Linked DNA regions of Callithrix jacchus. The protein of the gene in region 2 interacts with the protein of the main gene of each other region in a pairwise test. Links are inferred from orthologs where the notes say so. Each region holds a gene or a part of one and is shown on either strand. Other genes may lie near its edges.

Region 1 (4,076 bases), on a different chromosome or scaffold from region 2:
CGATATATTGCTGGTATTACGCATGAAATTTTATTGAACAGCTCAGAAAATATGCTTGCTTTGCCAGTTCACGTACCAAAAATGGAAGCCTAAATGATGCTGCTGTTTTGGGGCTATTTCTTTGGAAGGGTTGATGGTGCCCAGTGCAGGATGTCATCCTACAGACACCGCGTCTCCTCTGCCTCACAATCTTCACATTTAAGCATTCTACTGTGTGGCCACCTTCCAAGGCACAAGTCAAGTTCCATCACATCTGTGAGGTGACACTTAACTCTCTGTAATGTTCCCATTCATTAAACACAGATTTTTAGGAACTGGAACCGAAATTACCTGTGATTCACTTCTGGGACAGTCACCTGATGTTGCCATAGTTCTCTTGGGCTCTGCCTCATAACTCCTGCTTTATTTCATTTTCTTCTCCATTTCTACTTTTAAAAAGAGAAGGAGACACAAAGTACTTGCCACGTTAATAATTAAGTTCACTTAACTTCTAAGGTCCATGACAAAGGTCCTCTACCAAATAGAAATAAAATGTGTATGTGCGAAGAATGGTATAGAAGTGAAAATTATAATCACAATTCTTCACAAAGACAAAAGCATTTAAAAATCATAAACTTCAAACAGTGCGTGTTTTCTTCACTAGTCCACAAGGTGTTAATCTTACTCATTCGCTGAAGCCTGTTAGTTTCTGTCAGATCAAATGTCGACTTAAAGCAATATAAATCAGTATTCATTCTTTTCTTAGAAATGTGACAGCTTTAATTCCAATTGAAAGTCCCTACCTGGGACTTTGGTGTTTCCACTAACAGGAACGAAGGTGTGCATCTTCCGGTCTTTTCCTTCTCAATTTTTATTTTTCCAGTAACAGTGTAACCCACACTCCGCTCTGGGACGAATGTGCTTTTGCAATCGCATGGCAATTCTTTGTTTAAAATGCAAGCTTCACTTCTAAATTCAGACTTGATGCTCATTTTTGTGATGTTCATAGTTACAAATACTGATTTACAGAATTATATTTTCATTGGAAAACCGGCGTCCAAATTGGGATGGGTTGGAGTGGGTGCTGGGGTGCGCGCAGGATCCGGGCCCACCTAAGATGCCCTTGGGAGGAACAGGCTCATGGGGAGTGGGAACAGGTGGCCAATGAAGGCGGGTGAGAACGGGGCAAGAAGCGGGCAAGAAGCGAGGGGGCCGCGCGTGGACGCAGGAGCACAACAGGGTCAGGCTGCGAGCGCGCCTAGAGCTTCAGGACAGAGATCGCCTAGCCCGTGGGGCGTAACCGCGAAGGGCGTGGCAGGGCTGGTGGTGAGGTGGGCGTGACCGCGGAGGGTGTGGCCGGAGCCGGCGCTGGGTGGTGGGCGTGGCCGGGAGGGGGCGCGGCGCACTGGGAAGGGTGTGGCGAGGGCCGAGCTCCCGTTTGGACGCCAGGACAGGAAGCACACAACGCGAGGGCGATCGGAGGTCCCAAAGGGGGGCGGAGGCCTAAGTCTGCCAGCGGCGTACAGGGAGTGCGAGGACGCCTCACCTGGCCTGTCTTGCCTTACGTGCAGTCCAGCCGCCTGAGCTGCCCATCAGGAAACCTACCTCAGCCGCGTTTCTCCGCTGAGTTGCGCGTTCACACTGCCAGTGCCGAGGGGCGGATGGTCCCTTCCAGGAGCCTGAGCCACCGCCCTCAACCCGCGCAAGCGCAGTGCGCGCAGGCCGTCAGCCGAGAAGGCCCAGCCCACAGCCAGGCGCCCCCGCGCAGGCGTCGTCCCCAGACGCCCCGCCCTCTTGGGAAGCCGGGCCACCGCCCTCGGCTCGCGCAGGCGCACTGCGCACAGACCATCTGTAGCTAGGACAGCGTCCTACGCAGGCGCACTGCATGTCTGCGCCTCTGCGGTCGTGCCAACCCGAGGCCGAGCGCCCCCATGTGTAGAGCTTGTCCCCAACCGCCCAGCCGCGTCTCTCGGCTTGGGGTCCGACCCGGGGTGCAGGGCGTGGGCAGGAGTCCGACCTAGGGCGGGGGGCGGAGCTGGGCACTTCACGGCCTGGGAAACAGAACCCCTACGAGCCACAAAATGGCTGAGGCTTCCGTGGAGGACGCGCCCGCGCACGTCTTCCTGTTTTCTCTCAAATAATTCAATTAACTTTCCCATCCGCGCTGCACAGTGTGCGCCCTCTGCCTTTCTTCTGGACAAATGGAAGCAGAATGATAACGTTTCTGTTTTGCTGAGAGGAAGTGTGGGGTTCATGAGAAATGGGCGGCACTGATGCCTGTAAAACAGACATAAATTCGAAGGGCCCCCTGCAGCCATCTGACCGGACTCCCTCCTTGACCAGGACACCCTGAAATTCAACCTGAGGGACTGTTCCGGCCTTGAGGAGAAGGAGGGGTTGGACAGCCTTACTATACTCCTCCGGCGTTAGCATCAAGGCAGACCGTAGGTCTGATAGAAAATGTAGAAGGAAAATAAATCTTGGGGCTCCCACATCATTAAGCCAAAGGGGGAAGTCAAGCTGAGAACCGCTTAGGGCAAACCTGCCTCCCATTCTATTCAGCGTCATCTTTCTGCTCAGGTAAGTGCATAGCTGATTACCTCCCGTGGAGAGGCCAACCCGAAACTCGGGAATGCAAACGTCCCTTACTTACCTGTGAACCGGAAGCCGCCTCCCGCTTCAAGTTATCCCTCTTTTGCTTCGAGTTGTCCCACCTTTCAGACCAAACCAATGTTCATCGTACGTATCTTGATTGATGTCTCATGTCTCCCTGAAACGTATAAAACCAGCTGTGCTCTGATCACCTTGGGCACATGTCTTCAGGACCTCTTGAGGCCGTTTCATGGACATGCATCCTTAACTTTGGCAAAATAAACTTCCTAAATGGACCGAGACCTGTATCAGATATTTGAGATTCACATTTTGGTAACCCCAAAGGGCTTCTGAGTAGAGGTATTCTACTATTCACATTTTGGTAACCCCAAAGGGCTTTGACAAATCTCCTATCGGTCTTTGGTACCAGTTTGAGCTATCCTTATGGCTCAAACAAATAGGAGAATTTGCTGAGGCATGGAAGCAATCCCTCCAGAGAATCCCTGATCTACTCAGATTTGGTCAAGCTCTAAAGTTTATTTTGCTGTACAGCTCCTTTTGTGTGGGGGGGAAGGGGGACAGGGGTCCTTGCATCCAACACAAGGAAGGCAAGTTTTTTCCTGCTTCCATGGCAAGAAAAGGCAGGTAACTCCTTTGTGGAGTTTGAGCTCACTTCCAACAGGAAAGATGAGGGTTTTTTCCCCCCTGCTCCTAGGATGGTAGACAGCAATCCACCAAACTGTATCTTCTAAGTGGAGCATTTAATTAGTTTACATTCAAGGCTAATATTAATATCTGAAGTTTTGTCCTTGCCATATTGTTGTTTTCTAGTTGTTTTATTATTGCTTTTTTATTTTTATTTTTCTGTAACTGTGGTTTGGTGGAATTCTATAGTGGTATCACTTGATTCCTTTCTCTTCCTCCTTTGTGTAATTACTTTACCTATGAGTTTTATACTTTCGCGTGTTTTCATAATGGTTAATGTAATCCTTTTGCTTCCAAGTTAGGACTCTTTTAAGCATTTCTTGTAGGACCAGTCAAGTAGTGATGGATTTCCTTAGCATTTCTTTATCTGGGAAAGACATTTGTTCCTCATTTATGAAAGTTAAGTTTGGTGGCTATAAAATTCTTAGCTGCCCTTTTTTTCTTTCAGGACTTTGTCTTATAATGATTCTGCTGAGAAGTCTGCTGTTAGTCGGGTAGGCTTTCCTTTATAGGTGACAAGACACTTTACTTTTCTATTTATGTTTTCAGAATTTTCTCTTTCACTTTGACTTTAAACAGTCTGATTGTCATCTCCCGTGGCAAAGTCCTTTATGCATTTTATTTCTTTGGAAAATATTGAGCCCCTTATATTTGGATATCTAAATTTCTTGCTAGACTTGGGAATTTTTCATTTATTATTTTATTAAATATTATAAACCTTTTCATCTCTCTTAGCCCTCAGGGATACCAAAAATTTATAAACTCAGTCACCTTAGGTTGCTCTAAATCTCTAAAAATTC
Region 2 (3,628 bases):
TTAGTATGTGATACTAATTAAGGTTACCTATAGTACCATTTAAAAGATCCTAGTAATTTATTCTTTCAAATATCATGTTGTTACCATCACTGACAAATATCTCCTAGGGTTATCCCTAAAAATGCTCAGAGAATTAGAAACTTGTTTTCTTAGTTTTAATACGAAATGGCTAAAGCTCTTATTTTTTTCCACAATAGTTAGTAACTGCATAAAAACTTGTGCTCCTCTACCAATGGGCTTTGGAAAACGCATCACAAAGGCCAAACCAGCTTGACCCTGGCTTTTATAGATGGTCATGAGGCGATTCAAATAATTTGTGTGTGTCACAATAAAGAGTGTTTGTACATGTGCCTCCTAGAAACTACGCTAAGGGCAATTTATTTCATAGAGGCCACCCAAATGCCTTATAGGTTTTATTAATCTGGATATGAAAGTGTACCCCATTTAGCTTCACCAGGAACCCAAATTTAGAACATTGAAAAGCTGTCATCAAAAAGTTGTGATATCGAAAATGTGTAAGTAAGTAAAATTCTCTTAAGATACTAAGCAAGAGTGTCACAGCAGTAATGATAAAGACTAGTTTTAATCTCAAGCCTTAGAGGGACCCTTTGTTGCCTCTTGTACAGCCTCTTACAAGACTGGTATTTGGTTAACAACAACAAAAACTGGTTAAGGTGGAACCTTGACCTTTTATCAGATATTGTATAGGTACAAAGCTAACACAGGCTCTTTGGATTCCCTGTTAAGTGACTCATTCACATTCCTTTCTTGGATATAAAGTCATTGCTGTCTTTTTATTTTTTAAATATTACAAGACAAAGATTTTTAACTTAACATGAAAAATTCACTCTTTTATTTTGGAAAAAAAGGTTAACTTTTCATACTAACAGAACAAGATTTAACGTAAATTTCTTAAACATTATCCAGAAAAATAACAAGATTTATAGTATCTACTTCTGGTACGAATAGACACAAAAGGCCAAAACCACGCCTATTCTGCAGGTGTAGCTTCGGTGCTCTCCTGTTCAGGGGCAGGCTCACTGCCAGCTTCTTTTCCTTCTTTGCTTCTTTTAGATTTTTTGTGTTTGTGTCTCCTGTGACTATCTCCTTCTTCACTTTCATGGCGACGTCTACTATTACTGAAAAAAAACAAAACGTGTTCTGTTTAAATGCACAATCGGTGACAAAACCACTCTAAGGAAATTCTGAAAACAACACTGAGTTTAAAATAATGCATTTTCTCATAAATGCAGTGTGGGGAATAATCAGTTTTTATGTGACTTTTATGTAGTGATTATATTATAGGGTCATCTTCACTGATATCTCAGATTCCCAGTGTCTATACAGCTTATTCTAAATGCATATTATAATTTACAGTAACAGAAACAAGCACTACTGGGAATACTGTATAGGGTTGATTTCTGGCAAACAATAGTTATTTTAATGCTTTTAAAAAAATGTGCAACAAAGCCCTGAATTTTTCTTTAATGAAACCAAGCACTGCTTTGATTCATAACTTATTAAAGATTGGTTCATAGGCCAAAATTTCCCCTCTTCCAATGTGATAATGTAGTAAGTCAAAATCTCTCACATACTACTGGTTCACTATTTATTAAAGAGCAAACCTTCGAGAAGACTTATGTCTGGTTTCCTCTTTCTCCCGGTGTCGTCTTTCTCTATGTCGTTCTTCTTTCTCTCGACTTGCTCTGTGACGCTCATAACCTCTTTCTGCATACTCCCTGTATCTGTAGCGTTCTTCATCACTGAAACAGAAATAGAAATGTTTTCTTGACAACTGGACCATTAATTCTGAATGGATTCAAACTGTAAAAGAAAATATGATCTGAAGTCCAAACCAAAAATCCCTACATTAGCATCTTTTACAACATTGGTGAGGAATAAATATTTGTTGAATTGAGAGGAAAACAATGCTTGTTCTCAAAATAGCACTAGAGCTAAGAATATAAATATATAATAATTACCCATGTTAAATGGCCAATTTCATTCTGTGCTTTCATTGCTGTTAAAAAGATTTAACAATGCTTTTGTTTTTTCGTTTCTTGAAAATGAGATCTGCAACTGATTTAAATTATCAGCTTTTAAAATTTTTGCTCCTTTTAGATTATCTGTATATCTCAGATTTCTAACCAACATTCTTAGAGTCTTGGACACACATAAAACATTATAAAAATATACAACTCCCAATGACTACAAAGCAGAAAGCAAACGAAGTTTTTAAACTTTAGGTTTATCATTAAAAAATATTCAAATAGAGAAGAGACATCAAAGCAACTTCTACAGTATCCATACAAAATGCAGACTGGACGTACCTGCATTCTGACACCCTAATTACGTGTGTACGTGTGTGCGCGCGCATGTGCATGCACCACATGGCTAATAACTTCAACTGCGTAAGCTGCATCTCCATTTTCTGATTTTAGATTGAATTACACAGACTGGTAAAACTGAGACTAATGGCTAGTGTTAGAGGGTGGTCTTTCCTTTCCCTAGACCGGTTTTCCTTTCATGTCACTTAACTGACATTCTCTTTCCATCTTTTTCCTTATCCTTCAAGTCTCTTATTTCTTCTCTTCTCTTTGTCTAGCATAGAAATCAACACCTTGTACAACCTAACAGTAAATTCACTTAGAATAAAATCTTTCAGAAGAGTATGCTGAAGAGCTTTGATTTCTAGAAATGTTTAATATGAATTATTAAACTAGTAATTTGTATGAAACATCAAGATGGTAAGGAATCTCAGGGTTTAACATAGGTGACAATTATAAGCCATGTTTTAAAAGACATGTCAGCCTGTGTTTTAGCAAAAGTAATGATTCAGTAATGCTATGCTTAATGCCCAATGGTACTGCTAACCAAGTTATTATATGTGGTATATTAAAATTTTAGAATCTTATTTAAAAAACAGAATGTATTAATATATCCATTTGCACATATGTGTATATGTATTTCCACTATTTTTCCTCACCATAAATATTAACTTTGTACTTGGAGTGTGGAAGCATGTTGCCTGAAAGGTAATAGCCATGCCAGTCAGTAGAGAGCAGCAGAAAAGAGTATAAGCAGAGTACACACAGAATCACATCCTGATCTCGTCACTTACTGAGTGACCCAGGCTATTATTTATCCTCTCTAAACCTCAGTTTTCTCATCTGTAAAATTGCCAACAGTCTTTTTAAAGGTTTCTGTAGAACTGACATTTATAAAGTGCTTGGTATGAGAGCAGACACTCAATAAATGGTAGTCTTTGGTGAATTTAGTGCTTAATTTTTTCAGAAGCAGAACTTTTTATTACCATGTCTTGAAGTAGAATAAACTAGCTTCATAGGAAATATAGTTAACTCCTCTCCAAAAGTGAGGCTTTTCAATGACTCCAACTAGATTTACATAGAAATAATTAAAGTCAATTATCTCATAATGCATCATTTATAACCCTCTCTTTTTCCACTTACCCTAAAACCAACCTCTGTTGGCTTTGGAGCCTTTAGATTCTGAAAGCAGCCCTGTGATGGGAACCTTATAACAGATGGTAGAAGATTGAGTCCTACACACAAAATATAAAGACCTTCCTCCTTCCATCCCCTTTTCTGATAAGTGGCTGAACCACAAA
Region 3 (4,073 bases), on a different chromosome or scaffold from region 2:
AAAAATCCCTGAATTAGGCCATACAATGGCTCATGCCTATAATCCCAGTACTTTGGGAGGCCCAGGCAGGAGGATTGCTTGGGGCTCGGGGCCAGGGATTCGAGACCAGCCTGGGCAGCATAGCAAGACCCCCAACCCCTCCCACAAAAATTAAAAATAAAATTCACCTAGAAGGGAATATGGGGGCCCACTTTTTTGGTACATGTTCCACCTCCCTTTCCTCTTGTACATAAACCCCAGACTTTCCCTTCCTCAACAAAGGCTTGAAGCACAAAAAAATTAAAATGAAAATAAAAATAAAATTCAAATAATTAGCCAGACGGGCTCAGTCGCTCAAGCCTTAATCTCAACCCTTTGGGAGGCCAAAGTGGGTGGATCACCTGAAGTCGAGAGTTTGAGACCAGCCTGACCAACACGGAGAAACTCCGTCTTTACTAAAACGACAAAATTAGTCAGGCGTGGTGGCAGGTGCCTGTAATCCCAGCTAATCGGGAGGCTGAGGCAGGAGAATCGCTTGAAACTCGGGAGGCGGATGTAGCGGTGAGCCGAAATTGCATCATTTCACACCAGCCTGGTCAACAAGAGCGAAACTCCGTCTCAAAAAAAAAAAAAAAAAAAAAAAAATTAGCCAAGCGTGGTCGTGCAGCGTCTGTAATCCCAGCTACTCCGGAGGCTGAGATGGGAGGATCGCTCTAGCCTGAGACGTTGAAGCTGCAGTGAGCTATAATCGCAACACTGTACTCCAGCCGGGGCCACAGCGAGAAAAGAAAAAATCCTCAATTAGAGACACGATGAGGCCGTCCTTCCTCGGAGACCCGCTCTTCCTCAGACGCCCACCTGGACCCTCAGGCCAACGCCGAACCCTCTCCACACGGACCTTTGCAGCCTCAGTTTCCCTCCTCTGACGCTCCCGGCTCCAATCCTGGCTCGGACACTTCCTGCCCCTCTGGTGTGTCTGCCCAGGTCCCGGGGCTCCTGCGAGGATCACACAGGAACTCACGTGAAGTGTCCGGAGCAGTGCTCTCCGCCGGTGCGCCCGCGTCGCGCCCTGCCAGATCCCCGCAGCGCACCCAAGTCTCCCTCGGGTCACCTGCTCCCCGGGTGCGCAGGCGCAGTCCGCGTCGCCGACTCAGGCGTGTGGTTTCGGGTTTCCCGAGAAGAGAGGCCGGCGTTCGGCTGGCGGCTAGCCGGGACTAGCGGAGCGGTGGGACTCCGCGCTCGATTGGCCGGTCCTGGACAGGCGCTTGGGCCGGCGCGGGCTCCGGGCGCTCCCGGCATCCCTCGGGTGGCGGCGGCGGTGGCGGCGGAGACGGCGGAGGAGGCGAGGCGAAAGAGGAGCGTGTGCGGCGGAGCCGGCAGCTGGGCCGGCAGCGGGTAGAGGCGAGAAGACGGCAGGAGACCTAGGGGGAACCGGGCCGGTGGGGCCGCCGTCGCCACCATGCAGGAAATCATCGCCAGCGTGGACCACATCAAGTTCGACTTGGAGATCGCGGTGGAGCAGCAACTCGGGGCGCAGCCGCTGCCCTTCCCGGGCATGGACAGTGAGCGCGGGGCTCAGGCGGGAGGGCGAGAGCTACTCGGACCCAGGACTCCTTCGCCACGGTCTTGAGACGACCCCCCCACACCCCCGCCTCCTCTGGATCCTGGGACCCCTCCCCTTTGGTCCCGGGACTCCTCCCACTAGGTCTTGAGAGTTCCTCCCACCTCCTCCGGGTCCTGGGACCCTCCCCTTTAGTCCCTCCTCTGTGGTTTCGGGACTCTTCCCACTCTATCCTGAGACCTCTTCTGGATGCCGGGACCCTCACCCTTGGTTTTAGGACTCCTGAATCCCAGGCCCCCATTTCCACCGTCTGGGGACCCCTTTTCCCCTCACTTGGACTCAGGAGTTCACTGCGTCGGATTTGGCCTCATGCGGCGGCGGTTCAGAGGTAATCTGTAGGAGGGCAGGAATTTGTTCGCTTAATTCTTGAATAAAGGTGGGTTATCCAGGATTGGAACTCTCCCTCAGCACTCTCCCAAATACAGAAGAGTACTAGGGTATCCCACTCCCTACTTCCCGCCCCCCCGCCCCACGTTGAAAGCAAGAGTATCTCTTCTTGCTTTCTTTAAAACGAGGCGTTGGAGGAGGCCTGCTGAGGGAAGGACCACCTCTCTTTAGGAGACCCCAGCTAGACTCTCAGAATCCCCTCTAGGACTCATTCTCTTGGGAGCTCATCCCTAATTTGGGGCCTGTCTCCACTTTTTTCTGGACCTCAACTCTGAGTTATCTATCACACCCAGCAGCTGTATGGACCCTTGGCCTGAATGAACTTCCTTCACTCCTTCCCTTCGTGTGGTGACCCCTGGCTCCCCACCCGCTACTCAGTGGAATATCTTGTACTTTAAAAGAAACTAGTCGTTTTCTTTGTGTCTTCTTTTTTTTTCAAGACAGAGTCTCGCTTTTGTCTCCAGGCTGTAGTGCAGTGGCGCAATCTGGGCTCATTGCAACCTCCGCCTCCCGGGTTCAAGCAATTCTCCTGCCTCAGCCTCCCGAGTAGCTTGGACTACAGGCACGCGCCTCCATGCCCAGCTAATTTTTGTATTTTTTTTAGTAGAGACGGGGATTCACCATGTTGGCCAGGATGGTTTCTATTTCTTGACCTCATGATCCGCCCACCTCGGCCTCCCAAAGTGCTGGGATTACAGGCGTGAGCCACCACTCCTGGCCTTCTTTTCTATCTGGACAAATTTGAAATCTAATGCTATAACCTTAAAGTTTGGGGGCTGGTGGAAGTCACTGAGTTCAATCCAAAGATGGGGAAACTAAGACCCGGGTGGGGTGGGGGAAGGGACTTGCTGATGACCACCACTCAATGGATGGCAGACCTGGGGTCTCCTACAGAGAGGTGGTCCTCCTCAGCAAGCTCTCCAGTGTTCTGTGCTGTCACCTACAACTACCAGTGGGGTCTCCCACCTCTCCCAGCAGCCTCCCTCTCCAGCAGCCTCCCTCTCCTCAGGCAGCCATGCCTTGTCATGCACATGTGACTTCTAAGTCTGTCCTTTCATGTGGTTTTTTTCTTTTTGTTTGTTTGCTTTTGAGATAGGGGCTCCCTCTGTAAGTGTAAGTGCCTTGGTGGCGTAATCACGGCTCAGTGCAGCCTTGACTTCCCAGGCTCCAGCAATCCTCCCACCTCAGCCTGCTAAGTAGCTGGGACCACAGGCATGCACCACCATGCCTGACAGATTTTTTTTGTGTGTATTTTTTAGTAGAGACACTGTTTTGCCATGTTTCCCACGGCTGGCCTAGATATATTTTTTTTTCACTGCCTGCCCCACAAATTTACATGGTGACACTTCTATACAAGATAATTTCACTGGGCAGGGCGTGGTAGCTCACACCTGTAATCCCAGCACTTTGGGAGGCCGAGGTGAGCGGATCACCTGAGATCAGGAGTTTGAGACCAGCCTGGAAAACATGGTGAAACCCCATCTCTACTAAAAATAAGAAAATTAGCTGGGCATGGTGGTGGGTGCCTATAATCCCAGCTACTTGGGAGGCTGAGACAGGAGAATTGTTTGAACCCAGGAGGTGGAGGTTGCAGTAAGGCAAGATTGCACTATTGCAGTCCAGCCCAGGCAACGAGTGAAACCCCATCTCAAAAAAAAAAGGTTATTTCTGTGTATTGTACTCCAGCCTTCCTTTCCCCACCCACTCTTAACTCCTTGAAAGGATCTTGGTATACAGGAGGCTCTCAAAGCACTGGGTAATGACTGCCCTCAATATATGTGTCTCATTTCAGGACATGACTAATAAAAGCAGCTTCATCCTTGGTGGGGCTTTGCATGTTTTTGCTACTTTATTTCCTGTACCCTGAACCCTTGGTGGGTCAGAGGTCAGAAGGGCTCCCTCCCACTGTCTTCAGACATAATAGCAATTGTACCTCTTTGTTTCATTCTTCTCCTTTTCTCTCCATTCTACAGAGTCTGGGGCTGCTGTCTGTGAATTCTTTTTAAAAGCTGCCTGCGGCAAAGGTAAGAGACTCCAGGCTCCCTGATGTGCCTCCTGAGGTGCCCTCCCACCTCCTTGTCCCCAG

The links. The genes of interacting proteins can lie anywhere in the genome.
Region 1: the proteins of FIP1L1 (region 2) and PRMT2 interact in a two-hybrid assay, tested with the Homo sapiens proteins (2 studies listed by BioGRID and IntAct). The link is inferred for Callithrix jacchus from reciprocal best matches to the Homo sapiens genes FIP1L1 and PRMT2.
Region 3: the proteins of FIP1L1 (region 2) and CPSF4 interact in binary tests that used the Homo sapiens proteins (3 or more experiments, as listed by UniProt). The two-hybrid records come from large-scale screens. The link is inferred for Callithrix jacchus from reciprocal best matches to the Homo sapiens genes FIP1L1 and CPSF4.

What each region holds. Positions count from the first base shown.
Region 1 is NC_133522.1:52,206,586-52,210,661, reverse strand, and holds the start of PRMT2 (protein arginine N-methyltransferase 2), read right to left. Parts: upstream 2,801-4,076; 5' UTR 2,633-2,800; intron 2,560-2,632; exon of another isoform or gene 2,051-2,559; intron 1,675-2,050; exon of another isoform or gene 1,585-1,674; intron 887-1,584; exon of another isoform or gene 783-886; intron 429-782; 5' UTR 370-428; coding exon 331-369; intron 1-330. UniProt on the Homo sapiens protein: Arginine methyltransferase that methylates the guanidino nitrogens of arginyl residues in proteins such as STAT3, FBL, histone H4. Acts as a coactivator (with NCOA2) of the androgen receptor (AR)-mediated transactivation.
Region 2 is NC_133504.1:143,243,994-143,247,621, forward strand, and holds the end of FIP1L1 (pre-mRNA 3'-end-processing factor FIP1), read right to left. Parts: intron 1,764-3,628; coding exon 1,626-1,763; exon of another isoform or gene 1,140-1,625; coding exon 992-1,139; coding exon of another isoform or gene 913-991; 3' UTR 501-912; downstream 1-500.
Region 3 is NC_133503.1:14,141,108-14,145,180, reverse strand, and holds the start of CPSF4 (cleavage and polyadenylation specificity factor subunit 4), read left to right. Parts: upstream 1-1,273; 5' UTR 1,274-1,438; coding exon of another isoform or gene 1,439-1,541; 5' UTR 1,542-1,789; coding exon 1,790-1,928; intron 1,929-3,960; coding exon 3,961-4,011; intron 4,012-4,073. UniProt on the Homo sapiens protein: Component of the cleavage and polyadenylation specificity factor (CPSF) complex that play a key role in pre-mRNA 3'-end formation, recognizing the AAUAAA signal sequence and interacting with poly(A) polymerase and other factors to bring about cleavage and poly(A) addition.